3 linked regions of the Caenorhabditis elegans genome follow. The protein of the gene in region 2 interacts with the protein of the main gene of each other region in a pairwise test. Each region holds a gene or a part of one and is shown on either strand. Other genes may lie near its edges.

The links.
Region 1: the proteins of lpd-7 (region 2) and rfc-2 interact in a two-hybrid assay, tested with the Caenorhabditis elegans proteins (one large-scale study listed by BioGRID).
Region 3: the proteins of lpd-7 (region 2) and csp-1 interact in a two-hybrid assay, tested with the Caenorhabditis elegans proteins (one large-scale study listed by BioGRID).

What each region holds. Positions count from the first base shown.
Region 1 is NC_003282.8:1,344,183-1,355,920, forward strand, and holds rfc-2 (Replication factor C subunit 2), read left to right. Parts: upstream 1-3,131; 5' UTR 3,132-3,135; coding exon 3,136-3,282; intron 3,283-3,353; coding exon 3,354-3,460; intron 3,461-3,585; coding exon 3,586-3,709; intron 3,710-4,593; coding exon 4,594-4,672; intron 4,673-5,209; coding exon 5,210-5,385; intron 5,386-7,348; coding exon 7,349-7,603; intron 7,604-8,584; coding exon 8,585-8,701; 3' UTR 8,702-8,795; downstream 8,796-11,738. Other genes in the region: F58F6.5 (G_PROTEIN_RECEP_F1_2 domain-containing protein), read left to right, coding at 1-59, 106-170; col-104 (Nematode cuticle collagen N-terminal domain-containing protein), read right to left, coding at 9,519-10,117, 10,867-11,113.
Region 2 is NC_003281.10:7,569,243-7,577,377, forward strand, and holds lpd-7 (Pescadillo homolog), read left to right. Parts: upstream 1-4,107; 5' UTR 4,108-4,111; coding exon 4,112-4,234; intron 4,235-4,281; coding exon 4,282-4,416; intron 4,417-4,461; coding exon 4,462-5,497; intron 5,498-5,596; coding exon 5,597-5,898; 3' UTR 5,899-6,021; downstream 6,022-8,135. Other genes in the region: R13A5.7 (FBA_2 domain-containing protein), read right to left, coding at 1-82, 831-857; rpl-9 (Large ribosomal subunit protein uL6), read right to left, coding at 2,903-3,006, 3,057-3,189, 3,241-3,573; mfsd-6 (Major facilitator superfamily associated domain-containing protein), read right to left, coding at 6,222-6,367, 6,768-7,070, 7,591-7,702, 7,922-8,135. UniProt on the Caenorhabditis elegans protein: Required for maturation of ribosomal RNAs and formation of the large ribosomal subunit.
Region 3 is NC_003280.10:13,598,767-13,609,228, forward strand, and holds csp-1 (Caspase A subunit p16), read left to right. Parts: upstream 1-2,437; coding exon 2,438-2,440; intron 2,441-2,690; coding exon 2,691-2,819; intron 2,820-3,066; coding exon 3,067-3,416; intron 3,417-3,777; coding exon 3,778-3,919; intron 3,920-4,182; coding exon 4,183-4,321; intron 4,322-5,238; coding exon 5,239-5,492; intron 5,493-5,536; coding exon 5,537-5,743; intron 5,744-5,788; coding exon of another isoform or gene 5,789-5,789; coding exon 5,790-5,891; intron 5,892-5,935; coding exon 5,936-6,172; intron 6,173-6,243; coding exon 6,244-6,291; downstream 6,292-10,462. Other genes in the region: gst-20 (glutathione transferase), read right to left, coding at 9,482-10,045. UniProt on the Caenorhabditis elegans protein: Cysteine protease which, in vitro, cleaves itself and caspase ced-3 into their mature active forms. Also cleaves, in vitro, inactive caspase csp-2 isoform b.

The sequences.
Region 1 (11,738 bases), on a different chromosome or scaffold from region 2:
TCTATTCATAAACATTCCAGCTGCCCTATCTTTATTTTCAAAAGAAGTAACGCAATCACGTAAGTATTCTTTGGTTTTTGCAATTTAATTGATGTGTTTTTCTAGAGCTATTTTTTTTTCTTATCTTATTGATTTTTGTCATTATTCTATACTTTTTTCGAATTTGGTGATTTCCATTCAACGTGCTTTTGTATTTTTTCTACGTAACTGGACAAACCAATTTTTTGAATCGTTAGTTTTTTTTAATAATTGATTTCAAATATAAAAATTTATAATTCTAGTAAGGCAATATATATTTGGCTTGCAAGTATTTACATATTTGCTTTTGGTGTGGAATATGCATTAATGTCTTCAAATTGTCAATATGGATATGATAAAACTTCTAAAAATTATCAATTAGTCTGTGAAGCAGACAATCGCGGAATCATGAAAACAGTAGCAACGCCAGCTGGAATTCAGTTTGTGATTATTACAAAATCGATACTTAAATTAAATTTGAAAATGATTTCAGGTGGAAACTTTGCTACATATCGTTATTCCTTTGTTTATACTTATCATATATATTGCAATAACCGCAAGAATAATATATATGAAAGGAACAAAAATTTGGATTTCCCGCCAAAATTTTTCTCACTGAAAATTTGAATTTCCCGCCAAAATTTTTTCACTGAAAATTTGAATTTCCCGCCAAAATTTTTTCACTGAAAATTTGAATTTCCCGCCAAAATTTTTTCACTGAAAATTTGAATTTCCCGCCAAAATTTTTTCACTGAAAATTTGAATTTCCCGCCAAAATTTTTTCACTGAAAATTTGAATTTCCCGCCAAAATTTTTTCACTGAAAATTTGAATTTCCCGCCAAAATTTTTTCACTGAAAATTTGAATTTCCCGCCAAAATTTTTTCACTGAAAATTTGAATTTCCCGCCAAAATTTTTTCACTGAAAATTTGAATTTCCCGCCAAAATTTTTTCACTGAAAATTTGAATTTCCCGCCAAAATTTTTTCACTGAAAATTTGAATTTCCCGCCAAAATTTTTTCACTGAAAATTTGAATTTCCCGCCAAAATTTTTTCACTGAAAATTTGAATTTCCCGCCAAAATTTTTTCACTGAAAATTTGAATTTCCCGCCAAAATTTTTTCACTGAAAATTTGAATTTCCCGCCAAAATTTTTTCACTGAAAATTTAAATTTCCCTCCAAAATATTTTTCTCAGAAAATTTGAATTTCCCGCCAAAATATTTTTCACAGAAAATTTAAATTTCCCGCCAAAATATTTTTCTCAGAAAATTTAAATTTCCCGCCAAAATTTTGGGTCTTACCACGGTGGGTCTCACCACGACGGGTCTCACCACGATGAGTCTCACCACGATGGTCTCACCACGATGGGTCTCACCACGATGGGTCTCGCCACGATGGGTCTCGCCACGATGGGTCTCACCACGATGGGTCTTTCCACGATGGGTCTCACCACGGTGGGTCTCGCCACGATGGGTCTCACCACGATGGGTCTTTCCACGATGGGTCTCACCACGGTGGGTCTCGCCACGATGGGTCTCGCCACGATGGCTCTCGCCACGAAGATCTCGCAGCAACATTTTTTTAATTTTCCAGAAGGTTCTAGAACAATCCAGAATTTTTTCGAATTTTCCAGAAGGTTCTGGAACATTCCAGAATTTTCTAGAATTTTCCAGAAGGTTCTAAAGCTTTTCAGAATTTTCCAGAAGGTTCTGGAACATTCTAGAATTTTCCAGAAATTCCCAGAAGGTTCTGGAACATTTCAGAATTTTCCAGAAGTTTCCAATTTCCCTTCCAAAGACGGAAAGTCAATTTTTCATAAACTACCGTAATCCTACCGTACTCCTACAGTACTCCTACAGTACTATTACAGTACCCCGACCATATTCCACTACTAACCGCAAACCTATATCTCTTCAAAAGACAAAAACACAATTTTTCATAAACTACAGTAATCCTACAGTACTCCTACAGTACCTCTACAGTACTACTACAGTACCCCGACCATATCCCACCTCTAACCCCAAACCTATATCTCTTCAAAAGACAAAAACACAATTTTTCATAAACTACAGTGATCCTACAGTACTAATACAGTACTCCTACAGTACTAATACAGTACCCCGCCCATATTCCTCTACTAACCACAAACTAATATCCCTCCAACAGCCGAAAACACCTTGCCTTTGTAAGCTATGACGTCACTTGTTAACAAACGGACACTATTTTTTTATATATAGGTAATGATTAATTATTAATTATTAATTATTAATTATTTATTTATTTATTTATTTATTTCAAAAAAACTTTTTTCGATGTCAGGAGTCCTGACTCAGGACAAGTCGTCGTCGGAAGAAGAAGACTTGGAATGCTCACTCCGAAGGTTCCATGGCTGTCCATCGCACGTACTGACCGTGAAAAAAAATGGAATGAGTTTATCCTCTTCGCAACTTGAACCCAACGGACATCAAAGTATCAAAGTAAAGTAAGTAAGAGCTCGAGCCCAGATGCTCGAGCTTGAGCCTAAATGCTCAATCTCGAGCCCAAATGCTCGAGCTCGAGCCCATATGCTCTATCTCCAACGCGAAAAAAGTTGTAGCTGTTAAAAGTCCATGAAGTGCATCCACTTGCCACGAGAAGTGAGAATCAGCCCGAAGCCGCCACAGTCGTACATATTTTCTTTATTTAAACCGGTCAGATACACTGATAGTATTATATTTAACATATTTCTATCTGCAAAAATGCTCTTCTGCCCAGAATTCTTCTGATTCCATTTAATTCTTGCTAGAAATCGCTGAAAAAACAGCTCGTATTTACAATTTTTTGTAATTTCCGACTTCCCATTTTATCAATTTTACTATTTCTGTGAAAAAAATTCGAAATTTCGTTCAAAAATAGCGATTCTGGCTCAATTTCATGAATATCTGTTGTTTTTTTTGGCAAAAGTGGCCGCGGCCGAGGAGGAAACCTTGTCCCCGCTCGGTGTACTCCTCTCGGATAATATTTGTTTTTTGAATTTTAAGCGCGCCAAACTGATTTTCTTTGTCATTCCATGAATTTTCGTCACGTTTTTCGAGTTTTGTATCGAATTCTTATCAAATTTTCAATATTTCCAGCTATGTCAAAGTCGGAAAAGCAACAATTAGCGCCATGGGTGGAGAAATATCGTCCAAAAGTGCTCGCCGATATTGTCGGCAACGAGAACATTGTCGAGCGGCTCAAAGTGATCGGACACGAGGGAAATGTGCCGAATATTGTTTTGTCGGTGAGAAGATTGTTGAAAAATTCATTTTAAAAGTCAAAATGTGAAGTGAAAAATCGAATTTTTCCGTTCAGGGTCCCCCAGGCTGCGGAAAAACGACATCAGTGTGGGCGTTGGCTCGAGAATTGCTCGGCGATAAGGTTAAGGAAGCGGTGCTCGAGTTGAATGCGTCGGACGAGAGGTTTGTGAGAAAAAACCCTGAATAACTGGGAAAAATTGCAAAAAAATTGACTTTTTCGCTAAAAACTTTGAAAAAATTGAATTTTTCTCAAAAAAAAAATCTCAAAAAACTGCCAATATTTCCAGAGGAATCGATGTGGTCCGTCATCGTATCAAAACGTTCGCCCAGACGAAGGTGACACTTCCAGAAGGCCGTCACAAGATTATCATACTGGACGAGGCCGATTCGATGACCGATGGTGCACAGCAGGTGCGGAATTTTGCCGAAAAACTTGGAAATTTGAATTCAGCTCAACGAGAGCTTTGATTTAAGTATGAACATGACTAGGCTGCGATAATTTTGGAAATAAATCTGAAAGTTTTAGGCTTAGGCTTTTAGGCTTAGGCTCAGGCTTTAGCTTAGGCTCAGGCCTTGACTTTGGATTAGGTTTAGGCCTAGGCCTAGGCTTAGGCTCAGGCTTAGACTTAAACGTAGGCGGGATTTTTTTAAGTAAAAAAAGCCGAAAAGTGAGTGTTTTTAGTAGATTTTTCAGTTTTTTTTTGACAAAATCTAGATAAAATCGGAATTTTCTGACGAAAATATCAAAGTTCCGCAATTTTTGAGCTTTTTGCAATGAAATTGGTACAAATTTCGAATTTTTTTTAAATGAAAAATGCCATAAATTAAATGGTCAAAAATCCGGAATTTCTAGCGTTTTCCGAGACAATTTGCGATTTTTTTAAAGAGAAAATGTCAAATATCAGAAAATTGCCCGTTTTTTCCACAAAAAAAACCGAGAAAAATGGTAACTTTGCACACACAATTTCACTTATTTTTTCAGGAAAATTTACACGATAATTAATCAAAATTTTCGTGTTTTTTTTTTTGAAATTGAGCCAGTTTGGATGTCAATCTACCAGTTTTTCTGCGAGGAATTCGATTTTTTCCAATGAAAATCCCCCCAAAAAATGCAATTTTCATCCGAAAAAACCTCCTAAACTCGAAAAATTAGTCCCCCGCCACGATGATTAAAAAATTTCCAATTTTTTCGAAATTTTCGGAACCCAGTCATGATTATACTTAAATGAAAGCTCTCAACGAGCTCAATACGAATTTTGCATTGAATTTCCAAAAAAAAAAAACCAAATTTTCAGGCTCTCCGCCGCACAATGGAGATGTACACAAAGACGACAAGATTTGCGTTGGCCTGCAATCAATCCGAGAAGATTATTGGTACATATTAGGGACGGCAAACGATTTTACCGGCAAATCGGCATATTGCCGGAATTGAAATTTCTGGCGAATTGCCGGAATTGAAATTTCCGGCAAATTGGCATATTGCTGGTTTTGAAAATTTCTAGCAAATCGACAAATTGCCGGAATTCAAATTCCTAGCAAATCGGCAAATTGCCGGAATTGAAATTTCTGGCAAATTGGCAAATTGCCGGAATCGAAATTTCTGGCAAATTGACAAATTGCCGGAATTGTAATTTCTGGCAAATTGGCAAATTGCCGGAATTGAAATTTCTGGCAAATCGACATATTGCCGGAATTAAAATTTCTGGCAAATTGGCAAATTGCCGGAATTGAAATTTCTGGCAAATTGGCAAATTGCCGGAATTGAAATTTCTGGCAAATTGGCAAACCGGCGATTTTCCGATTTGCCGAATTTGCTGACAAAAAATTTCCGAACGGCACTTGCCGTCCACACTAATACAGATCTCGGCCTGGAAACTCCCCAAAAAATCGATCGATTTTTGCCCCTTTCAGAGCCCATTCAATCCCGTTGTGCCCTGCTCCGCTACACAAAATTGAGCCCCGTACAGCTGTTGACACGTGTCAAGGAGGTTGCAAAAGCCGAGAAGGTCAACTATGACGACGGGGGTCTTGAAGCGATTCTGTTCACTGCACAGGGTGATATGCGACAGGCGTTGAACAATTTACAGGTAGAAAATCCGGGAAAAGGCTGAATTTTGAGCTGAAAACGCTGGAAAAAATTGCGAAAATTCACAATTTTCTAGACCAGAATTTTTACAATGTATGTGCTTAAAAGTAGTGAAAAACCGGAAATTTTAGCTAATTTAGTTGGAATTTGGCGTTTTCCGTAAAAAAGGTGAAAAAAATCATATTTTTAAAGGATTTTTTTTCACTAAAAATTGACCTTTTCCAAATTTTCTTCAGTGAAAATCTAAAAATGTTATTAATCTCAAAAATTCCAAAATAAAATCCAAAAAAAAAAATTCAAAAAATTTTAGGAAACTTTTTAAAAATTTCAAAAAAAAATCCTAAAAATTTCACAACAATCCCAAAAAATTCCAGATAATTCCAAAAAAAAAAAAAACTTTAAAAAAATTTCCAAAAAAGATTTCCAAAAAAGATTTCCAGGAAAACTTGGCCATCCTTCCGAACTCCATAATTTTATTTTCAAAATTTTGAAAAATTGGTCTAAAAATATAAAATTTCGCTGAATGTTCTTTTTTCCTTGAAAATCTCAAAAAGTTTCATGAAAATTGGATTTCGTACCATTTTTTTATTTAAACATTTTTTTTTGTTGATTTCACCAGTTTTTTACATTTTGCAACAAAAAAACTTAGAATTTTTCCTAAAATTGAAATTTTCATTAAAATTTTCTCATTTTTTCAGTGAAAATCATGAAATTTCATCAAAATATTGAAATTTTTTACATTTTTCAGTTAATTTTTTTTTTCGATAAAGGACATCTAAAAAAGGGGTATTTTAACAATTTTTTCCCCACAAAAATTGCAAAAATGCCGATTTCCAGTATAATTAAGTGGAAATTTCATGAAAATGTGACTTGTGTGTTTCTCTATCCGAATTGATGGTTTGAATAGTGGTATTCTCGGCTGAAATATGCAATAAATACCGTATTCCAACCAACAATTCGGTGCAATAGAGCACATTTGTCACTGGAGATGCGGAAGCTATGCCCAATTTTTCAATTTTTTTTAGTAAAAATCTGAAAATTTAAACAAAAATTGCGTTTCAAAACAAATTTTCCATTTTTGGGCTGAAAACTTGTAGAAAATTTAGAAAAAGTCTTATTTTCAAGTAAAAACTATGTAAAATATGCAATTTTCCGGCTAAAAAAAAGTAAAATGTTCCGATTTTCCAGGCAACAGTGAACGCTTACGAGCTTTGCCGAGATTTTCAATTATTTTTCACGTCGATCCTCATATCTTCTCAATGTTTTTTTTTCAAATTTTTTTTTCAAATGAACCCGATTCTTGTACAGAATATGTAGTTTTGGGTCTCGCAGCGAAATTGCGCGTTTTATTAATTATTTTTATTGCACTTTAAACATATTTATAGATGGATTTTCCTCGGAACTTTAGCAATTTCATCCCAGTTGCCGAGAAATGCTAAAAATTTGGGTACGGCAACTCGGCAATTGCACACTTTTTGAATTTTTCAATTTTTGATGCAAAAAATTAATTTTCTTGGATTTTTCAAATTTTGCTCAAATCCCTGCTAAAAATTCGAAGATTTTTTAGCCTTTTCTAGTTTTTGCCGAGGAATGCTATAAATTTTGGCTCGGCACCTCGGTAACTGAACTAAATTTCCCTATATATTGTCTGTGACTTGTGTGTTTCTCTATCCGAATTGATGGTTTGAATAGTGGTATTCTCGGCTGAAATATGCAATAAATACCGTATTCCAACCAACAATTTGTGCAATAGAGCACATTTGTCACTGGAGATGCGGAAGCTATGCCCAATTTTTTTTTAGTAAAAATCTGCTGAAAATTTAAACAAAAATTGCGTTTCAAAACAAATTTTCCATTTTTGGGCTGAAAACTTGTAGAAAATTTAGAATGTCTTATTTTCAATTAAAAACTATGTAAAATATGCAATTTTCCGGCTAAAAAAGTAAAATGTTCCGATTTTCCAGGCAACAGTGAACGCTTACGAGCTTGTGAACAAGGAAAATGTGCTGAAAGTCTGTGATGAGCCACACCCGGACCTTATGATCAAAATGCTCCATTACTGTACGGATCGCAAATTCTTCGAGGCATCCAAGATTATTCACGAGTTTCATCGGCTTGGCTTCTCCTCAGACGATATTGTATCAACGTTGTTCCGTGTGGTAAAGACTGTCGAGCTGTCGAAAAATGTGTCCGAACAGCTGAGAATGGAGTATATTCGGGTGAGAAAATGGGTGGAAAATGAGCCAAAATGAGCGGCTAAAAGCCGCCCGGGGTGTTCTGAAAATTGTCAAAAATCCGCGTTTTTTGGAGCTTTGTTTTGCCGAAAAACGCGAAATTTCGTTGTTAGATCATCGGAATATCTAAATTTCGGCCTTTGTGGCTGAAAATTGCCGAAAACCACCGGATTTTAGGGATTGGTAGCCTAAAATTGGCGAAAATCGTGAATTTCGAAGACTAGTTGCCGGAAATTGCCGAATTTTAGTTTTTGGTTACCGGAAATTGAGTCCGGCAACTCGGCAACTGAACTGAATTTCCAATTGAAATTTCCGGCCAACCGTAAAATTGCCGGAAATGAAAATTTGCGGCAACTCGGCAATTTGCCGGAATCGAAAGTTTCCGGCAAATCGGCAATTTGTCGGAATTGAAATTTCCGGCAAAACGGCAAAATGGTGGAATTGAAAATTTTCGTCCAATTGGCAAACTGCCAAAAATAAAAAATAAAATTTCCGCCACATTGCCGGAATTGAATTTTGAGGCAAAATGGGAAAATAGCGGAATTCAAAAATTTCCGGCAAATCGGCAAATTGCCGGAATTGAAATTTCCAGCAAAACGGAAAATTGCCAAAAATCAAAATTTCCGGCAAATCGGCAAGTTGCCGGTATTGAAAATATCCGGCCGATCGGCAAGTTACCGGAAATAAAAATTTCCGGATAATCGGTAAATTGCCGAAATTGAAATTTCCGGCAAATTGGCAACTGAATTGAATTTCCCGGTATATTGTCTGTGACTTGTGTGTTTCTCTATCCGAATTGATGGTTTGAATAGTGGTATTCTCGGCTGAAATATGCAATAAATACCGTATTCCAACCAACAATTTGTGCAATAGAGCACATTTGTCACTGGAGATGCGGAAGCTATGCCCAAATTTTAATTTTTTAGCCCAAAACCATTAAAAAAAAACAACGAAACAATTTTTCAGCAAATCGCCATGTGCCATATGCGTATCGTGCAGGGACTCACTTCGAAACTTCAACTCTCCCGTCTGATTGCCGATCTGTGCCGAGTTTCAGCAGCGGCAACGGCTACGAGTGCCTAAAATTGTTGCCGAGATTTTCAATTATTTTTCACGTCGATCCTCATATCTTCTCAATTTTTTTTTTCAAAATTTCAAATGAACCCGATTCTTGTACAGAATATGTAGTTTTGGGTCTCGCAGCGAAATTGCGCGTTTTATTAATTATTTTTATTGCACTTTAAACATATTTATAGATGGATTTTCCTCGGAACTTTAGCAATTTCATCCCAGTTGCCGAGAAATGCTAAAAATTTGGGTACGGCAACTCGGCAATTGCACACTTTTTGAATTTTTCAATTTTTTGATGCAAAAAATTAATTTTCTTGGATTTTTCAAATTTTGCTCAAATCCCTGCTAAAAATTCGAAGATTTTTTAGCCTTTTCCGGTTTTTTCCGGAATTCCAGTTTTTGCCGAGGAATGCTATAAATTTTGGCTCGCCACCTCGGCAACTGAACTGAATTTCCCTATATAGTATGTGACTTGTGTGTTTCTCTATCCGAATTGATGGTTTGAATAGTGGTATTCTCGGCTGAAATATGCAATAAATACCGTATTCCAACCAACAATTCGGTGCAATAGAGCACATTTGTCACCGGAGATGCGGAAGCTATGCCCAAATTTTCAATTTTTCTTCTGAAAATTTTGAAATCGCTCGAAAATCAAATTTGAAAGGCATTGATTTTCAGACTAAATTTTTTCAAAAATTTTTTATTTTTGTAAAAATTACTGGAAATTAAGCTCCGCTTAAATTTTTTTTTCTTCTGGGGGATCTCGAAAAACGCAGTTTTTTACGCAGAATCTGAATTTCTTATTGAAAAATCTTTATTTCGATAGTAATTATCTGGAAAGTTTGCTTCTTGGTGGGCACTTGCAGTAGTTGGCATCCTCTCCAGGTGTTCCACTCGGTCCCTGTTGTCCATCGAATCCTGGTGCTCCTGGAGCTCCATCCTCTCCAGGGCCTCCAGAGGATCCTTGGATCCCTGGAACTCCGCTATTTCCATCATTTCCAGGTTGTCCTGGGAATCCTGGCTGTCCAACGGGTCCAGAAGGTCCTTGTGGTCCTGGTGCTCCCTTGGTTCCGTGAGATCCATCACGTCCCTTGTCTCCCGGCTCTCCGTTGTTTCCTGGAGCTCCTGGCTCTCCACCATATCCTGGATTTCCTGGATGACCTGGGTGTCCGTCTGGACCGCGGAGCCCTGGAGCACCGTCGTTTCCTTTGTCTCCTGGAGCTCCTGGCGGCCCGGCTGGTCCTGGGAATCCTGGAGCTCCTGGTGGGCACATACGGCATTGTTGATGAGCATCCATATTGATTGATGGGTAGTTTCCTGGAAGTCCTGGAGCTCCGGCGTCTCCGGCGAGTCCTGGGGTACCGTCGTGTCCTGGGATTCCTTGTGGACCGGCTTCTCCTGGTGGGCAAGCGCTGTTCGAGTTGCAAACTGGAAATTTTGAGCAGTTTAGTGTCTATATAACATAATAAAACATCTATTTGCCAGACCCGTGGGTCGAACTGCGGTCTTTTGAGCCTCAGGCAAACCGCTAACCGACTGAGCCACGCTTTAAGAAAAAATCGAAAATGAGCTAATTTCGGTGTCAAATTAATGGATTTTTCACGGAAAATTCAAATTTTTGTAGGAAAACGCTGGAAAAGGTGAGTTTCAAACAGAAATATCACTTAAAAATAAAAAAAAAATCATTTCCGTGGAAAACTTGATTTTTGAAAGTCCCCAAAATTTGGGTTTTCTGGCAAAAAAATCCGTCAAAAATTGAAATCTTCACCTTAGAAAAAAAGTAAAAAGAATTTTGCCTATACTGTGGGTCGAACCACGGGCGTGTGCGTGATAGCTTAACCTTTTAGCCACTGAGCCACGCGTTTTTCAAAAAAAGAAATCGGAAAACTCGAGTCCGTTTTTTTGAAAAAAAATCCCAAAATGTGTGGAAAAACAACGGATTTTTTATAAGAAATTCGATAAAAATCTCCAAAAAAAATAAAATTTTTGACATTTCCGAAATTGAGCCAGATTTTTTGGCTGAAAATAGTTCAAAATTAAGCAAAAAATCAGTTCTTTCGAAAGAAAATCCCCAATAAATGCGATTTTCCAGCGAAAAATCCACAAAAAATCGGAATGTTTTGAGATTCCCAGTTTTTTCACGGAAAATTCAAATATCCCACTCTTAAAAAACGTACCGCATTCTCCCGGGCGAGTTGTCTGTCTCTTCTTTCTGGCGAATGGTACAACCGACTCTCCAAAGGTCTCGCCACGCATATTTGCCCAAACCTCGTTGTGTAGATCACGGAACTCGTTCATATCGTAGTGAAGCTCTCCGGTGATGTCATTGATCTTATTCCATAGTGCTGGTACGAATGTGGAGACGAGGAATAGCGAGGATAGGGAGAAGGCGATCGCCGCGTAGCCAGCCACTCGAGCCGACATTTTCCGAGCTGCAAGAAAAATCGATAAAATTCAAAAATTTTAGGAAAATCGATAAAACACAAGAATAATCGATAATCTAACAACTCAGTCTTAACAAGCAAAAGAAAAGAAAAATATTTGCACGGCCCGGGGGTCGAACCCCTGACCTCCTGCGTGTCAGCTAAACCTCTAACCGACTGAGCCATCGCGACCCAAATTTCAAACTTGTTGAAAATTGGCCAATATGGGGGTCATGCTAACGGATTTTCAACGAGGAAATCAAAATTCTGACTTAAAATTGATAAAAATTTTTATAACTCAAAGAAGTAAAATTTTTCCAAAATTTTTTTTTCAAAAATCTCAAACAACGAAACGAACAATGTGAAGATAAAGTGGCTATACAGGAAATGCTTATATAGTATGACACCGCCCATTTTTTAAGAAATCACAATGCGAAAGTGACACCCTACAACGGAACCAGTTCGGCAGTGCGCGGCGATTATAGCGGAAGGTCAGAAAATGTCGGGGGCTGGAATCATCGTGTCAGAAAGGGGCAGATATTGTATTGTGTACTGTGATGAATTACGGGTTTTGTAGGATTTTTGTTAAAATAAGAAATTTGAAGAAAAATTTGAAAATTTTCGAA
Region 2 (8,135 bases):
GCGTTGAAGTATTGGGCACAAGCTCCAATGGAATCACAATTGGCTTTTCAGCAACAAAGACCGAGTTTGAAGAGGAGATTTCCTGTAATGTTTACAGTTTTCAAATATTCTAGGACATAAAAGTGTTGTCTTGGTGGTACAAACTAGGCATTCCACCCAGTCGAAGCATAATTATGGCGCCTCTTTACTCTTCCTTTTTGAGCTCTACCGAAAACATTAATATTTTCTGTATATAAATTCGTGTTTTTTTTTTGAAATTATGTTCAGTATTCCCATTTTCAAAGGTCTTTTCCGAGCGAGGGAGGAGCAAGCACGAATTGAAACCCTATAGAATACCAAGTACAATTAGTGTTTTCGAAATCTGAAGCTCGGCTTGTGGAAGTTTGAGAAATTTCTGAAGTATTACCTATCGGAAAGTATGCAAATGAATGCTTGCCTGCTTGAAAATGCCCTACGCCTGCCTACTGCCCCCACGTATGCATGTGGCCTAAGCACATGGGCAATTTTAGTTTGAAAAAAAAAATAGGAATAAGATAATGGCCCCAACACTGGGATTCACGCCAGGATACAAAAAAGAGGCAGTAGGCAGTCATAGCCCTATAAATTTGGATCATTGCAGAAACTTTTCTACAGTTACAAAAAGGTCGAATGAACCTGTCAAGAGAAATAGGATAGAATAGACAGAAGGAGAAGTTGACAGTTACAAATATGAGCACAACAGTTTCTAAACTCACTCTATTACCAATATTCCCACTTGGTTTCACTTTTGAACTATTTTTCTGAAACTACCAGAACCCTAATACTATGATTACGGTAGCAATGAGACTCACCTCGACTTGGGTTGGTTTTTCCGACATAAGAAACGGAGGAAGGGCACCAGGAGTGATGCTTCTGCAAAGAGACAAGTAGAAACTGAGAATTATTATCAAAAAATGAAATGATGCGAGAACAGATTGAATGAGGGAATGTGAGAGAAGAAGAGTGGGAAATAAAAGAGCAGATGATGTGGCGAGAGGTGATCGGGCGCTTCCTCAAGCAAGGGTCTCAAGCAGGGTCTACCATAGGTCTAGCACAAGGGTCTAACATCAAAAAAAGACTTCAGACTTAGACAATTAGAGACAAACCAGTGTGCATAGATACAAGATGCTAATGTTCTAGTTTAGAGTATCCAGACATCCGAGGGACTGGGGGAACTACACGCGGTGGTCTGCTGTCTTCTAAGTCTCACTGTCTCTTGCACACTCTCACCGGGCAGTTCACTCTATGTGCAGGCGGGTGACAAGAAGGAGAGACAATTGAATTGCTGGAGGGCAGGTTAAAGATAGCATAGTGCCTTGTCGGTGATCTGCTTGGGATGGTAGGAAGAGAGACAGAGAGAGTCAAAAGAGGCGAACACAACACACACATACACACGATATTCAGAAGGAAGGAAGGCGAGAATAGTGTGTAGATGGGTGGAGTGAAAAGGGCTAGGTGCTGGCACATTTGGGTCGTTGTTGGAGAAAGATAGAAGAGAATATTGAAAGAAAAGAATAATGAAAAGGGATGGTTGTGAGTATGCTAGAATAGTGCAATGTCCCACAGTTTACTTGAGCTCAAACATCAGGAGTTTGAAAGATCTGAATAAGTGTTCTAAATTTGGGAAAAGCTGTAAAGCGACCTACGTCTGTATCGTTCCTGTCCAAGCATAATATCATCAATTTCAATAACAACTATAAACTAAAATGGACGAATTTTAAGACTGATATGCAAAAATTGTCCGAATTGTACTCATATTTTGCCAGTTTTGACTTGTTATACCAAGTCTGTAAAAGTTTTCCTAATTTTTAGAACGACTTTATAATGCAAATTTTTGAATTCCTAAAAATAGGGAACAAATGAAGGGGAGCAAAACTATTAGAGGTGCGAAACTAATAGAGGGTGCAAAACTAATTTTCGATTGGTGATTTTTGATGCAAAACTAATAGAGGCGCCTAACTAACAGAGGAAATACGATATATATATATATATATATATATACATATGTCGGATTGTAATTTTTTTCAAATTGTGCAGTTAGTTCTTGGTCACTGAATTTGGACTTTCTGAGAAATTTCGAGAAGTGTTTCAGGTTTGAGCCACTACAATCGTTTAAAAAAACATGATTGTATTATTAAGAAACACAATTTTCTTGGTCGTCTTCAAAAACTTGCTAGGGGAAAACTGAGTTATTGGAATTTTTGACCGTAACTTAAACATTTTCTAATATATTTTACAGATTTCATCATTTCAGCATCTCCTCAGTGACATCACCACAGAAATACTTTTTTAAAAATATTTTTTTATTGCCAGATCTTCAAATTTCAAAATAGTTTGTAGTAAATTTTCATCCTTGCTATTGAGTTGATTAATTTTTGACATGTGCTCTTAAAGGCGCATGGATTTATTCAAATGGGTCTCACCACGCAACATAGTTATGGTATTATCTTTTGTTTAATTTTTGTGACTGCTTCCTTGTTTACATATTTTCCTTGTACGTTTCAATGAAATTACATTGTTTTTATTTTTTGCATGGAACCGAAACAAGGAAGCAGCCGCAAAAAAAAGGCTACCGTAAACTTTTTGTGTGCCGATACCCATCTGAATAAGTCTATGCGCCTTTAAGACCTACCAAAATCTTGCCAAATTACGATACATTTTCAAACAGCGCTATGGCCATGGAAAGTTTCTCCCGAATTTTGGAAAAAACCCAATATTATCTACAGAACCACAAAATTTGTACAAATAGTCCAGATAATACAATCACCGTCGCTTTCTCTAGTAATGCACTCCATTAGCACCTTTGACCAGATTCGTTGTTCGCTAATTCAAATAAAAACTTCAGATTTTGATAACAAATTCATTAACAAAAAGCGACTAGAAATTAGTCAGTTGGGACGATGGTGGTCTTCTCCGAAACGTAGATTCCGTCGAGGAATTTACGGATATCCTTCTCCTTAACGGCGGTGGATTGTTGGATACGGGCAGCTGCAGAAATAATAATTTAAATGTGAAATAAACAAAATAAGTTTTCTTACCGGCTTGAGATACGAATTGGACATCATTTCCCTCGACTACGATCTCGTCCTTTTGGGCGGTGGAGATGGTGGCGATGACTCCCTCTGGAAGTGGGACACGACGAACGATCTTCTCTCCCAAGAAGTTACGGATCTGAATAATGTGTGAGTTTGAATTATGAAACACATGAATAATTTCACTTACCTCAACAGTTCTGTTTCCATCTTGAAGGGTAACGTTGATGGGGAAATGGGCATATACGGAACGCATCTTGTAGCGGAATCCGACGGTGACTCCCTTGATCATGTTCTTGATGTGGGAGCAGACAGTGCGGATAGCGGCAAGCTCCTTACGAACTCCGAACCACTTGCGGACGCGGAGGGTGCTCTTTCCGATACGCTCCATCTCCATGTGCAAGTGACGGAAATCCTTGCGGATGGTTCCGCGTGGTCCGGTGACATGGACGATGCGGTTCTTGACGGTGAAGGTGACTCCCTCTGGGAACACAACAGTGTCGTTAGACTCGATCAGCTTCATGATCTCCCTGGATTACCTGGAAACGATAAAATGAATTGCAACGCATTAAAAGTAAATATCAAGAATTAAAAATCAACAGAGTTCGGTTCAATACGTTTTACTTAATCGTGAAACATGTAAGAAAAACTGCAATTGAAACGGCACTAACACTTTTGAAATGGAGATTAGTGAACAACGTTAGAAGAAAGATAAAGTCGGGAGAAGGAATATTTTTCAGTGTTGAAATAAGCTCCGTATCGCACATGCTGTATAGCGTCGATACTCAGCGAAATAGAAACCGTGCGGCAGTTGCGTTCTCTGTCTCTTCGAATCTCCTCCTACTTTTCTGTGCCCTCTTCACTTCGACACCAATTTTTCGCCAAATGTGGTCGTTTTCACCATTTTTTATCGCGCATCACTCATATTTACATAGAAAATCAACTATTTATAATTTATCTTAGCAATTCAGTAATATTCAGCTAACTAGTTTTCCTGGTGTCTTGATAGTCTCGTTAATTCCGTCGGAAGCTTCGTCTTATTATTTCGTATTTTCAGCAGAATGAAGGACCGATTCAAACAAAAGTACACAGCCGGAGCTGCCGTGGCATATATGTCACGGAAACAAGCATTGAAGAAGCTTCAACTTACACTGAAGGACTTCCGCCGACTTTGTATTATTAAGGTTAGTACATTAATTTTTAAATTAGTCATCGAATTCAAATTTTTCAGGGAATCTACCCACACGAACCGGCCCACAAGAAGCAAGCAAACAAGGGTTCAACTGCAAATAAGGTGTTCTATTATCGCAAAGACATCAATTTTCTCGCCCACGAACCCATCATCAATAAGTTCAGAGATTATAAGGCAAGTTTATCTTTGTTCAACAAAATAAACTTTGAATGTTTTTAGGTGTTCCTGCGTAAATTGAATCACTTGAAAGCAAAGAAGGAAGAGGATAAACTCAAGAAGTTGTACGAAAACAAGCCAGTCTATAGTCTGGACACTATCGTCAAGGAACGCTTCCCAACATTTGGATCAGCTCTCAGAGATATGGATGACGCCTTGTCCCTTTGCTTCACATTCGCTATGCTTCCACATACTCGTGTTCTCAAAGAAGGAATGATTGACAGTTGCCGAAAACTCACTGCGGAGTTCATGCACTATGTGATTGAATCGCAATCTCTTCGCAATACCTTCATCTCGATCAAGGGAATTTACTATCAAGCGGAGGTACATGGAGAGAAAATCACTTGGGTTGTTCCACACGAGCGTGGTCTTCCACATGTCACCGATGTTGATTTCACAGTCCTCGTGACTTTCGTCGAGTTTTACATTGCCATGTTGGGGTTTGTCAATTTCAAGCTCTATCAAGACATCGGACTCTTCTACCCACCACAGATCGGGCAAGTCGTGAAAACTGATGAAATGGAGACTGAAGAATACAAAGAAAAGGTGTACAGTTTGGCGAAACCATTGGCTAAGAGAAAGGATGTTGAGCAGGCTGAAGACGATGAGCCGTTGGACCTTCTTGGTGAAGACTCTGATGCACTCGCGCAAAAAGTCAGAGAAGCAAAAAGCATCAAGACTATGTTCAAAGGTTGCGTTTTCTACTTGAATCGAGAGTGCCCAAAAGAAGCACTCACTTTTATTATTCGTAATGGAGGTGGAATTGTTGGATGGGAAGGAGGCCCTACAGATCTCAAGGCCGACAGTAAAAATATCAGTCACCACGTTGTCGATCGGCCAATGGACAAGCTGGAGGTGAATAGACTTTATGTACAGCCACAGTGGGTGTTCGATTGTCTGAATGCTCGCAGGAAGCTGCCTACGGAAAGATACATGCCAGGAGTAGCTCTTCCGCCACATTTCTCACCATTTACATCTGAGAAGGCTGGAGACTACATTCCGTTCGAAAGATTGGAAGAACTCAGAAGCATGGGCAAAGGTGTGTTTTGTTTTTACTTTTGTGTAGTATTCTATCTTTTCAATCTGATCTGAAGGAACGAGATATTAAATTCACGTCCTTTAATAAAATATTGTTCAGACGTGTCTGATCTCGAAGCAGCAATTCCGAAGACGATGGACGAGTTGCCAATGCGAAGAAAGGAGGTGAAACCAGAAAAACCAAAGGGTATTCACATTGCTGTTGGTCAAATGCACAAGAAGAGCAAAGAGAAGTTCCACGAGACTGTCGAGAAGGGACAGGAGTTGAAGATGCGCGAATTGATGATTTCCAAGAAGCACCAACGAGTGTACCACAGTATGAAGACCACGTTCAAACGCAATCGCAACGACGCTTTGAAATTGAAGAAGAAGGCCAAGTTGGCAAAGGCAACAGAGGCATAAATCATATGCAAGTTGTGTTCTCTCGTTTTGTTTTGTTGAAATTGTTGATTTTATCTCTTTTAATAATCCATCTTTGTTTTGTTACCATTATTATGCCCATTATCATTGATAAATGACGTTCGGAAATAATTTTACAATTGAAAAACAGTTTTTATTCAAATTCAAAGTGACAAAAAATAAGTTAAATATAAATAGAAATCATGACTTATTGCTTTTTTATAAGTAAAACTAGGTGAGATCTAAGGCGATTTTGTATTGGTTGTCGTGGATTTTGTTGTATTGCTTTTTTGTTATTTTTCAAATACAGCCTAAGCATCTTCGATCTAACGTGTCGTGGATACATATCTATCATAAGCATCCTGTGTTGGATCTTCTTGAGCAATTGCACCATAGTTTGCATTGACTACGGTAGTTGCATTGAAAGCATCTGTGATTTTTCCATCCCGAGCCATCGGGACTCCTTGTGGTGCTAAAATATAAATAATCATCACCCAGACGCGAAATTTTGCGATTTTTGAGCCAAAAATACGGGATCCGGTCTCGACACGACAAATATTTGTTAAATGTGCAAAGATGTGCGCCTTTAAAGAGTACTGTACTTTCAAACTTGTGTTGATGTGGGAATTTTATCGATTTTTTAATGATTAGTTAAGAAATGTGTGTTTTAATTGTTTCACTTTTTAACTAACTAATATAATATTGTTTGAGGAATTTGAAAAAATCGGCGCAGCAACGAAAGTTTGAAGTTACTGTACTTTTTAAAGGCATACATCCGTTCGCATTTAACAAAACACTTGTCGTGCCGAGACCGGTCACCGTATTTCTGGCGCAAAATTTCTCGCCTGGGCAACAGAAAAAGTTCAACTTACCCATAATATCCATATCTTCTTCTTCGAAATTCCCAGCTCCATACTTGATTCCTTCATACTTGAACAGCTTATTCAGACCAAAACTTCCAGCACATGTCGCAAGACAAATCAATCCATAAATCACAAAAGTTGTTCGTGTTCCAATGATCGAGATCACGGATCCACCAATTATTGATCCGAGACCTTTTCCAATTCCGTGATACCCTACTTGAAGAGCATATTGAGCATGTTGTTTGGCGTGTGGTGGAGCAACAAGCGAAATATACGATGATGCGCAAGACCAGACAGTGGCGAGGCAAGCTCCTGAAAACATAATAATTTTTAAATACCTTCGCCTTTACTTGAAGTTTATTAGATCTTTTATCTTAAACGTTGAAATTATTCAAAAAAGTGCACCAGGGTCTTATATAGCACGTGGTGTCAGGCTGTCTCATTGCGGTTTGATCTACGAAAAATGCGGCAATATCGTTCCAGAAAATTGTGACGTCCGCACGTTCTTAACCATGCGAAATCAAATGAGCTGTCTGCGTCTCTTCTCCCGCATTTAATGTAGATCAAACCGAAATGAGACAATCTGACTCCACGCGTGGATCCGGATTCCACGTGCATAGCACGAGGACCAAAATTGGGATTTGATTTGAAATTTCATTTCTCATAGTCAGCAAACAATCAAAATGTTAAAGGTTTTTTGTTAATATGTCGGAAGTTTTGAGACAAATTCCAAGCTTAATTTTTTCATGTTTTTATTGGATTTTAATGTTTCAGGTCATCACTAAAATTTTAAAACGTGTCTAAAACTTGATAAATCTAAAAATTTTCTCACCCTGCAAGATCTGAAGTGGAAGGACCATCCATGGATTATCAAGAATTGAGAGTGCCATGAAACGGAAGAAATTGACAGCCAGACACAGGTACATGACGCGGACATGTCCATACTGGAAATTGTAAACGTCTTGTTTCTCTTCTATACATTATATGTTCTTGCGAAGTGTGGGTTATTTTTAAAACCCACATTATAACTTTGATTCTTTGTATGTACGAGAGAAACCTTCGAGTTACCGTACACTCGAGTTACTTTTATTCTTTACAATTGTCATTTTTGCGAAAAGTCCCCGGAAAATAATTTTGGGCCGAAAAGCGAAAAAAAAACTTACCTTATTAATCAGTTTGAAAACATAGAAATATGTGATAATCTCGGATGCGTGATTGACCACAGATAGAATTCCAAAAAGCACCGGTGATCCTCCAATGTCCTGAAGATGCCAGTAAAGGAAACTGAACACCAAACCAGCTCCACCGCCCATCACAACGACTGATACGAAGAATAGAAGAATATGCATACTTGCAAGAGCCTTCATTGCAAGCAGT
Region 3 (10,462 bases), on a different chromosome or scaffold from region 2:
ACTCTTCTTATCCTTCGGAGCTGAATGATCAGATCACCAGGAGGTACCCTTCTGATCCTTCGGAGCTGAAGGATCAGATCACCAGGAGGTACCCTTCTTATCCTTCGGAGCTGAATGATCAGATTACCAGGAGGTACTCTTCTTATCCTTCGGAGCTGAATGATCAGATCACCAGGAGGTACCCTTCTTATCCTTTGAAGCTGAAGGATCAGATCACCAGGAGGTACCCTTCTTATCCTTCGGAGCTGAATGATCAGATTACCAGGAGGTACTCTTCTTATCCTTCGGAGCTGAATGATCAGATCACCAGGAGGTACCCTTCTGATCCTTCGGAGCTGAAGGATCAGATCACCAGGAGGTACCCTTCTTATCCTTCGGAGCTGAATGATCAGATTACCAGGAGGTACTCTTCTTATCCTTCGGAGCTGAAGGATCAGATCACCAGGAGGTACCCTTCTTATCCTTCGGAGCTGAATGATCAGATTACCAGGAGGTACTCTTCTTATCCTTCGGAGCTGAATGATCAGATCACCAGGAGGTACCCTTCTTATCCTTTGAAGCTGAAGGATCAGATCACCAGGAGGTACCCTTCTTATCCTTCGGAGCTGAAGGATCAGATCACCAGGAGGTACCCTTCTTATCCTTCGGAGCTGAATGATCAGATTACCAGGAGGTACTCTTCTTATCCTTCGGAGCTGAATGATCAGATCACCAGGAGGTACCCTTCTTATCCTTTGAAGCTGAAGGATCAGATCACCAGGAGGTACCCTTCTTATCCTTCGGAGCTGAATGATCAGATTACCAGGAGGTACTCTTCTTATCCTTCGGAGCTGAATGATCAGATCACCAGGAGGTACCCTTCTTATCCTTCGGAGCTGAATGATCAGATCACCAGGAGGTACCCTTCTTATCCTTTGAAGCTGAAGGATCAGATCACCAGGAGGTACCCTTCTTATCCTTCGGAGCTGAATGATCAGATTACCAGGAGGTACTCTTCTTATCCTTCGGAGCTGAATGATCAGATCACCAGGAGGTACCCTTCTGATCCTTCGGAGCTGAAGGATCAGATCACCAGGAGGTACCCTTATGATCCTTTGAAGCTGAAGGATCAGATCACCAGGAGGTACCCCCTGTGATCCTTCGGAGCTTGAGGATCAGATTATAAGGAAGAATCTTACGATATTCCAAGTTAGTTGGACGTTTTACAGCATTTTCCCAAAAGATCATTGTTCATACATTCAATTGTGAGTAGTCAAGGCCGGAAATCCATGGAAAATTGCATTTAAAAACTTATTCCAGTGAAAAAAAAACAAAAATCGATCGAGAAATATATATAAAAAACTAGTTGAAAAAGTTTGTCACCGAAGATCCGGTCAGAGACAAATGGCACTTTGTCGACTGGATACCATATCACTTTGGATACTTTGTCCCCAAAAATACCTTGTCACCCTAAAAGTTTTTCATCTCGGAATGAAGGCCAAGCCCACGCGGTCTCTGAGCAGGGAGCGTCACGCCCTCACGAGTATATAAGCCGACTAGAGAATAACATCCTCAGTCGAGAAAGACCTTGCCTGCTGGCGCCGGACGAAAGTAAGGCTCTCGTCGTCTGGCACAGCAACGACTCAATAAATGCTTTAGCACACAATCAAAGTGTTTTTGCATGATGTTTAACCATAAGCTGTGGCACCGGCTTATGTCCGTTAACACAAGGCTGAAACTCCGAAACTTGCTGATGAAACTCAAGAAGTTGATCTCAATCTTCATGACAGCTCTGAATCTGATCACGAAGGGTAAGTTTTTTTTCGTTGATTTGAAGAAATCCAATATCGAGAATTTTTATATTTTTAAAATCATTAAAACTGCAAGGAGTTTCAAAATATTGCCAAAAACGTGTAAACACATTTGAGTTCATGGAAGTTCAATTTACAAATTAAATCATTTATTCTCTAGTATTTAAAATTGCTGTTTTGTTCGCTGCAAATTTTGAAAGATGAACGACGATGAAGACGATGTAAAGGCGGAAATGGATCGGAGTTTAACGGGATTGGAGAATCAGATGGACAACTGGTCGACGTTTGATAGTGAATTCTTATGTGACGATGAAGAATATGTAAAGGCAGAATTGGATCGAAGTTTAGTGATATTGGCTGATGAAATTGATGAGATGAGATCTGAGGCTGATGAGATGAAAGTGAGATTGGCTGATGATAAAATTCAAAAAGAAATGGTAAGTTAGTTTTGCGATGATTTCGGTTTTTGTGTGAAGATACATAGAGTTTTGTCTTTTGAAAAGTCATATTTTGTTTTTCCAGATCCTGAAAAGTATAGATGATTATTCAAAATCACATTTCGACGACGATATGGTCAATGATTTCAATAACCACAAAAAATTTCTTCTATCTCTTTATCAGCATCAAAATCCACTGGAGATTTAAACATGGTTAGTGAGTATTGCGATGATGCTCCACAGTTACTTGGTGTTGAAAAATAAAACTCGGTCTGAAGTTTATATCGCGTTTTTTTTAAAGCACAGATATATGTGAAACTCGCCGGAATAATCTTAATAAGATTTTGGTAGAACACATTTTGATGTGGATGGCCGAGTTTTTTCATTTTCACGGCCACGTAGATGTGAAGTAGCTATAAAGATAAAGTTTTACCTTTTGAAAAATCTTATTCTGTTTTTCCAGGTCCTGAAAACGATAGAAGATAATTGTAAATCACAATTCGACGATGATTTGGTCGAAGATTTCAATAATTTTCAAACGACTTCTTCTATGTCTTCATCAACAACAATATCTACTGAAGATTTTAATACGGTTAGTGAGTTTCGCGATGATGCTCCACAGTTACTTGGCCTAGAAGAAATGAAACTCGGTCAGAAGTTTATATCGGTTTTTTAATCACAGATCTATGTGAAACTCGCCGAAATAATCTTAATAAGATTTTGGTAGAACACATTTTAATGTGGATGGCCGAGTTTTTTCATTTTCACGGCCACATAGATGTGAAGTAGCTGTAAAGATGAAGTTTTGCCTTTTGAAAAATCATATTCTATTTTTCCAGATCGAAATCGAGTCAACATTCGAAATATGCAGAAGTGGCTCCTATACAGAAGAGCCAATTCTTGGAGAAAATGATGAATTTTTGATTGATTTTGAAATGGAACGATTTCTGAAATTCCTTAAAGACAAAACAAAACAAGTAGAAAAAAGAAAAGAACCTTTCTCCCAAAAGGAAATATATGCAGTTTTCCAACGACGCATTAAATCTGAGCTCTGCATTGAAACGGTGAAGAAAAAGTTCCAACCACTCCTTCCCAATGCAATTCAAACATGCGAGTTCGACGAGGAAACTATGATAAGAATGATCTATGGTGCAGGAATTCGAATAGACTCTGTGGATTTCTGGAACCGGTTAGTATTTAAAAGAATTATTCAGAACAGGGGTGTGCGGCAAATCTCAAAATTTGCCGTGCTCGGCAAATTCGGCAAGTTCGGCAAATTTGCCGCACACCCCTGATTCAGAACAAAGATGAGTCACCAGATTCACTTGCCAAATATTTTTCGAAATACTTTTGAAATGTTTCCAACTTTAATTGCAACATAATGCAGAAAGTGGTCTTCACTTTTTGGAAATCGACGTGCCAATAAAATTGTCAATTTTGAACTTTAATTTTGCAACACAAAACTTATGGCCAATTTGTTTTAAAAAACAATCATTAATCAAATTTATGTTGTATTATTTAAGAGTATAAATGTACTAAAGTATTTTCAGGTTCACATCGAAAGCGACAATTTCACTAGACTGCTACTCAAGATTGATCTCATACTCTTCCGACTCTCTGACCTTAAGTGGTACTCATCGTTCTGGATTCACATATCATTGGATATCCACACCCCCTGTTACTTATCATAGGGTTTGTTTGCACATTTCATATTCACTTTTTGATTTTGAAGTATTGGGTCTGTAAATACTTCTCGAAGTACTCTCTAAAATGTTTAAAAGTCTTCTGAAGTCTCTGCGGTTTCCTTCTCTCCTCTTTTGACTTCTCGCTCTCTGCCAATGTTATGATACATTGATTTAAAAGACTCCGGAGACGAGAAGCGAGATCAAAGTGATGTTCTCTCATGATATTCCGAATTTTCTCTGTAGTTTCACCACAATATGTATTCATTTCAGACTGAAAATAAGGATCCAAATATACAAGAGCCATCTCCAGTTGAATTTCTAGATGTACAATCGAGTCTGGGTTCAAGTATGAAACCACCGATACTTGATAAGCCCACCAAACTAGATGACCCAGCTGAAACCCGCCATGGTAAGTCAACAATAACTTTGCGAAAAAACTAGAAGAAATTTTTAATAGAATCATAGATATCGAAGCAAGATACTTTCTCACTAAATTTCGATTCTCATATTTCCATCTATTGGGTTTCCTTAGAATTCAGAAGGTCATTAATTCCAAAAAGTGATTGGCTTTTAGAAAGAAAAATAATAGGAAAACGATTGGGACAAATGAAACCAGGCTTTTTTAGTGCATAAAACTCGGCTCAGGCTTGGCATTTTAATTTATTTTTAGAATAAGCTCACCAAGATATAGGACAGCATTGTGAGACTAATGTATTCTAAACAGCTCTTGTTTATAAAAACGTCTAAATCTCCTTTTTCTAGCTCATCTGCAAGCGGTTTGGATTTCAGGACAAAAATTGTAGTGCCCATAGAAAAAACATTAGAAAAAGTACTCACTTTTAAGCATGTAGGCATCAGCAGCTAACAGGTGGTGCAGCGAAATTTGAGTCGTAGCTTTTTTAGATCCAAAATGGCCCTAAACTACCAAATTCGTAATGAGACGTCCTGAAAATTTCTTTTAAAAATTATTATGGCTCAAAGCTTTGGAAAAATGCATGTTTTCTGCTAAGACCCCACGTGGTGTCCGAGTGTCCCATCACGATGCGGCTCAAAAAGGTATTTTTCTAAACTTTGAGCTGTCGCAACGAAACTATGTGGGTGGTCAACCACGGGAAATATTCTCTACACACAAAGAGGGGCGGGCCTAGGTGCTTTCACTAGCCAACGACGCTAACCATAGGGGCGGAGCTCATTTGCTCAAACTAATGCTCAAGAGACCCGTTTACACAATGGGCGGGAAATAAGAACCTATGGTCCTCCTGTACTATCAGCAAGCCCGACTAATTTATAGTTTTTGAATCTATAATAAGAAATAACTGCTTTCAGACTGCTCGTATTCACTGGAGGAGTATGACTCTCAGAGTCGAATGCCGAGAACGGACGCCAAGAAATCGAACCATAAACACAAGTATTGTTATGAGATGAATTCAAATCCGAGAGGGACCGTCCTCATATTAAGTAACGAGAACTTCAAGAATATGGAGAGAAGAGTCGGAACGAAACAAGACGAAGTAAATCTAACCAAGTTGTTCCAAAAGCTTCAGTACACAGTAATTTGCAAACGGAATCTTGAAGCTGAAGTAAGGTGAAACTATTAAGCTCTATTTGAGGGTTGTGTTTTCAGAGCATGCTTGAAGCTATCAAGGAATTCGCGGAGATGGCACATACCGATTCGATCATACTCTTCCTATTAAGTCATGGTGATGGAGCTGGAAGTGTCTTTGGAATTGATGACATGCCTGTCAATGTAATGGAGGTATCCACATATTTAGCGTATCATCAAAATCTTCTTCTCAAGCCCAAATGGGTTGCCGTGTCAGCATGTCGCGGAGGTTTGTTTTTCGGTTTTCTATTTTTCGAATAACCAACTTTTTTCGGGAAAATTGAACATGGGTGTTCCCGTTGACGGACTGCCAGCTTTGGAAGACAAATGTGCTCCAATCTCGAAATTTTGGAATTTAATGATGTCACGTATAATGGTTTGTTTAAAGGAGAAATCGATTTAATATTTTTCGCATTTCAGCCGGGAACCTTCACTTCATTGAACGCCGACGTCATCATCTCGTTTTCCACCACGGACGGGTTTACGTCTTATCGAGACGAAGAAGCGGGCACATGGTATATTAAATCCATGTGTAAAGTCTTCAATAAGCATTCAAAAACTATGCACCTTCTCGATATATTAACGGAAACTGGTAGAAATGTTGTTACGAAGTATGAGAATGTTCAAGGGAACGTTGTATTAAAACAAGCCCCAGAGGTAGGCTCACCGAATCTTAAATGCTGTCTTAAATGCAGTATTTTTTAAATCTTAAATGCAGTATTTTTCAGATATTATCCAGGCTCACCAAACAATGGCACTTTTCAAGGTCGATGTAACTGCGCTCCAGCGCGTTCGTATTAAATTTTAATTTCTTTGCGTTTTCTCTGTACACTTCTTTCACTTATTTTTAAATATTTAAACTCAAAACGTAAGTTGTTTCCTATTTTCTGATTTAGCTGATTTTCACTTTTCAGATTGCAACATTGATTACAATTAATGTGGATTATTGGAAAATTAAAAAAAAACGTGTGGGACAAGATGCACTTGCTGCAGGCAAATACTGTTTTACTACTTGATCTTTTACTGCGCATCTCTTTTACTACAAGATCTCTTTTACTACGGAATCTCTTTTACTACGAATTCCACATCTAGATCTTTTACTACAATCGGCTCTTTTACTACGGAATCTCTTTTACTACCGTTTACCAACATAGCTCTTTTACTACTGTGTGACTTCAAAGAAATAAAGGTGGAGCAGTGCCAGTAGCACCAGAGAGAACAATGTTAAAATCAAACTTACGATAAAAAATATATATATAGACAGGTCAACGCGCGTACCTCTCGCCCTTTTGGTGTAGTGGTTAAGCGCACGGTCTTCAGATACAGTCATTGCTGGTTCGAATCTGGATAGGTTCAGTTTTCTTTTACATCGTCAGGTGTCCTGATATAAGCTTTCAATGTGTTTTTTGGATCACGAAATTCTCGTGAGAGCTCTTGTCAGTATAAGCGCACGTCAGCATAAGCATATTCAAAACGTCAGCATAAGCATATTCAAAACGTCAGCATAAGCATATTTCAAAGGTGTCAGCATAGGATAGTTGGCAATGAGATTTTGCAATAAAATGTGTCCAACTGAAATGTTGTTGGCGATAGTGTCAAAAACATTTGGTTTTTTTAGGTTTCAATGTTTTTTTTTCGATTTATGAAAAAAAATCCAAAGGGTACCCCTTACAAAAATTTTCTAAATTTTTTTTTGAAAACTTTTTTTGAAAACTTTTCAAAATTTGATCAGATGTTATAGAAAAATGCAATGTTTGTTGTTTATCTAGTTTAAATGTTCTGAACGCGAATTCAGACTAAAACCTGAGGTATAGTAGAACCTCAAAATTCAAAAAAAGCACTCACTTCGGATGCTGATAACTCCGTGTAATAATTTTTTATGACAAAGTGATCAACAACAAAGTTGTTTATCTTAATATAAAGTACAATTTTGCAGTTAATCGTTTTTTATCAAAAAATTGGTTGGATGAGATATGAACAGAAAAAGAAGAAGAAAATACAAGCATGAAGGTGCCGAACTTTACACAACTTTATCTCGACCAACAAGTTTTTTGATAAAAAACAATTAACTACAAAGTTGTACTTTATATTAAGATAAACAACTTTGTAGTTGATCACTTTATATATCATAAAATCATAAAAAAATTTTCCACGGAGATATCAGCATCCGAAGTGAGTACGTTTTTTGAGCTTAGGTGTTCTACTAAACCTCAGGTTTTCGTCTGCAATCGTGTGCAGAACATTCAAACTAGAAAAAACTACAAACATTGCATTTTTCTGATCAAATTTTGAAAAGTTTTCAAAAAAAATTTCGGAAAATTTTATTAGATAGAGGTAGTCAAAGATCATTTGAAGGTAGTCAAAGAGCATTTATACATCAGATCTCATCTCCATTTTTTCCGGAATTTCAGGAAATGAGAAAGTGCACGACCTTCTTAGACATCAAAAAGTAACATGTTATTGAAAATTCTGATTTTTCAGCGAAAAAAACTGAAAATTCTGAAAAATTAGATAAAGGTAGTCAATGAGCAAAGGTAGTCAATGAGCAAAAGGTAGTCAAAGAGCCGAAAGGTAGTCAAAGATCTAAGGTAGTCAATGAGCAAAAGGTAGTCAAAGAGCCGAAAGGTAGTCAAAGATCTAAGGTAGTCAAAGAGCAAAAGGTAGTCAAAGAGCCGAAAGGTAGTCAAAGAGCAAAAGGTAGTCAAAGAGCCGAAAGGTAGTCAAAGAGCAAAAGGTAGTCAAAGAGAAGGTAGTCAAAGAGTGTTTGCCAAAAAAACGTGCGAATGTCGTTGTTTTTCTAGTTTGTTCTGAAAACAATATTAAGTAAAAAATTTTGGTACAGTAGAACTACCATGTTCAAAAAACGAATTCATTTTAGGATATCGCACGGTATTTTTTAAATGAAATCTCTAAGAAACATCATATGTTGAAACTGCATAAATGTAAAAATATACCATAACAGTAGTAAATTAGAAAATGTCAGCAAGTTAGTAAATCTGAGTTCAAAGTAAATGAACTATTTCTTAGTAAATGACTGAGAGTAAAAAATGAGTAAATTAGACCTTGAAGTAAATGAACTCTTTTTCAGTAAACGAGAGAAAGTGAAATTGCTAGTAAAATAGACGTCGAAGTAAATGAGCCACTTACGTAAACGAGTGATTTGGTAAATGAGACTATTAGTTAATGAGGGTTTGCCTACTTTTTTTTGGTACAAACCCACCTCACTAATTTTGAGATTTAAACAACATTTGTTGCCTATTTTGCAACAATTATTGGTAAAATTTCTATGAAATTGAAGTTATTGTACCTTTTTGTTGCAATTACAATCAAATTTTCTGAATTTTCACATAAGAAACTAGTTTTTCAGCAAAAAATTGTAAGCTCAAAGTCAGAAAAATGTTCTGAAAATTAATATTGCACTCCCTATTAGTCTTGCACTCCCTATTAGTATTGCAAGCGGTAAGGCCATCGAAAAATAGTATTGCAGCCATATTAATAGAAGAAATACGGTAAATATTTCCGGAACATCGGCAAATTGCCGGAATTGAAAATTTCCGGCAAATCGGCAAATTGCCGGAATTGAATATTTCCGGCAAATAGGAAAATTTCCGAAATTGATTATTTTCAGCAAACCGGCACAGTGCGGGAATTGAAGTTTCCGGTGAATTGGCAAATTGTCGGAATATAATATTTCCGGTTTGCCGTTTGCCGGATACCAATTTGCCGATTTGCCGTAAATTTAAATTCCGGTAATTTGCCGATTTGCCGGAAAAAATCATATTGAGCATATTTTTTCAGAAAGACGGCGTGCGACAAAAAATTAACAAGAAATGTGGTTTTTGATGCTTTTCGAACAGTTTAAAATATGTTTGTCTTTCCGATTTATGTCTGATGGGAAGGAAAAGTACACACAAATTTATTTGCTCCATTGGCCAAAGCGAAAAAATCAGAATATTCAGAAAATGATTAGAATCCCTTATCCGGGCTCGATTCAAGATGCTTGCGAATCTCCGGGATTCCATCGACTTTCTGGTACCAGGCCTTGATGTCTGGGTACTCGTTCAAGTATTCCGGCCACCACGCGATTAGGGTTCTCATATTATCACAAATCATCAAATCAGCATAGGTAAGTCCGCCGGAGAACAAGAATCCGGAGATGCTAAGCTTCAGGAACTTCCCGATAATCGTCAGGAACTTGTCTCTAGCTGGAATCAGCGTCTTCTTCTTCTCCTCTTCGGTGTCATTCTGAAGAACGCCGATTTTCGCGTAATAGTATGGCTTGATCTCCGCGTAGAAATCCTTGAACTGATCGATGAGGGCGTCGGCGAGCGCTGCCTCCTCGTCGGTTTTTCCGGCATAGCCGAATTTTTTGGCGAGGTACCTGGCGATCGCCATGGATTGTGGGATTTGGAGTCCCGAACTGAGCTCGAGCACGGGCATTTGGCCAAAGGGCATTTTGGGTTTTTGAGCTGGCCAGTCTGCATGCTCAATGCGGATATCCTCGTATTTGGTGCCGGATAGGGCGAAGAGCTGGAAATTTTGCGATTTTTGCGCCAATGTGTTAATTACGGTTTGATCTACAAAAAATACGGGGGAATTTTTCGCCCGAAAAAATGTGACGTCAGCACGTTCTTAACCATGCAAAATCAGTTGAGAACTCTGCGTCTCAACTTCCCGCATTTTTTGTAGATCTACGTAGATCAAGACAAAATGAGACACTCTGACACCACGTGGATTGCGAAAAGGCGTGCACCTGTAAAGAGTACTGTAACTGGAAACAGGCGGTAGTATTTTCATCGATTTTTCACATTGTTTTGCGAAAAAACACTAACATTTTAACAAATCGACTCTTTGAAGGCGCACACCTTTTTTCATTTATCAAAAATTGCCGTGTCGAGACCGAGTACTGTTGCAAACGCGGCCCAAGTGGTGTCATAGTGTCCCATT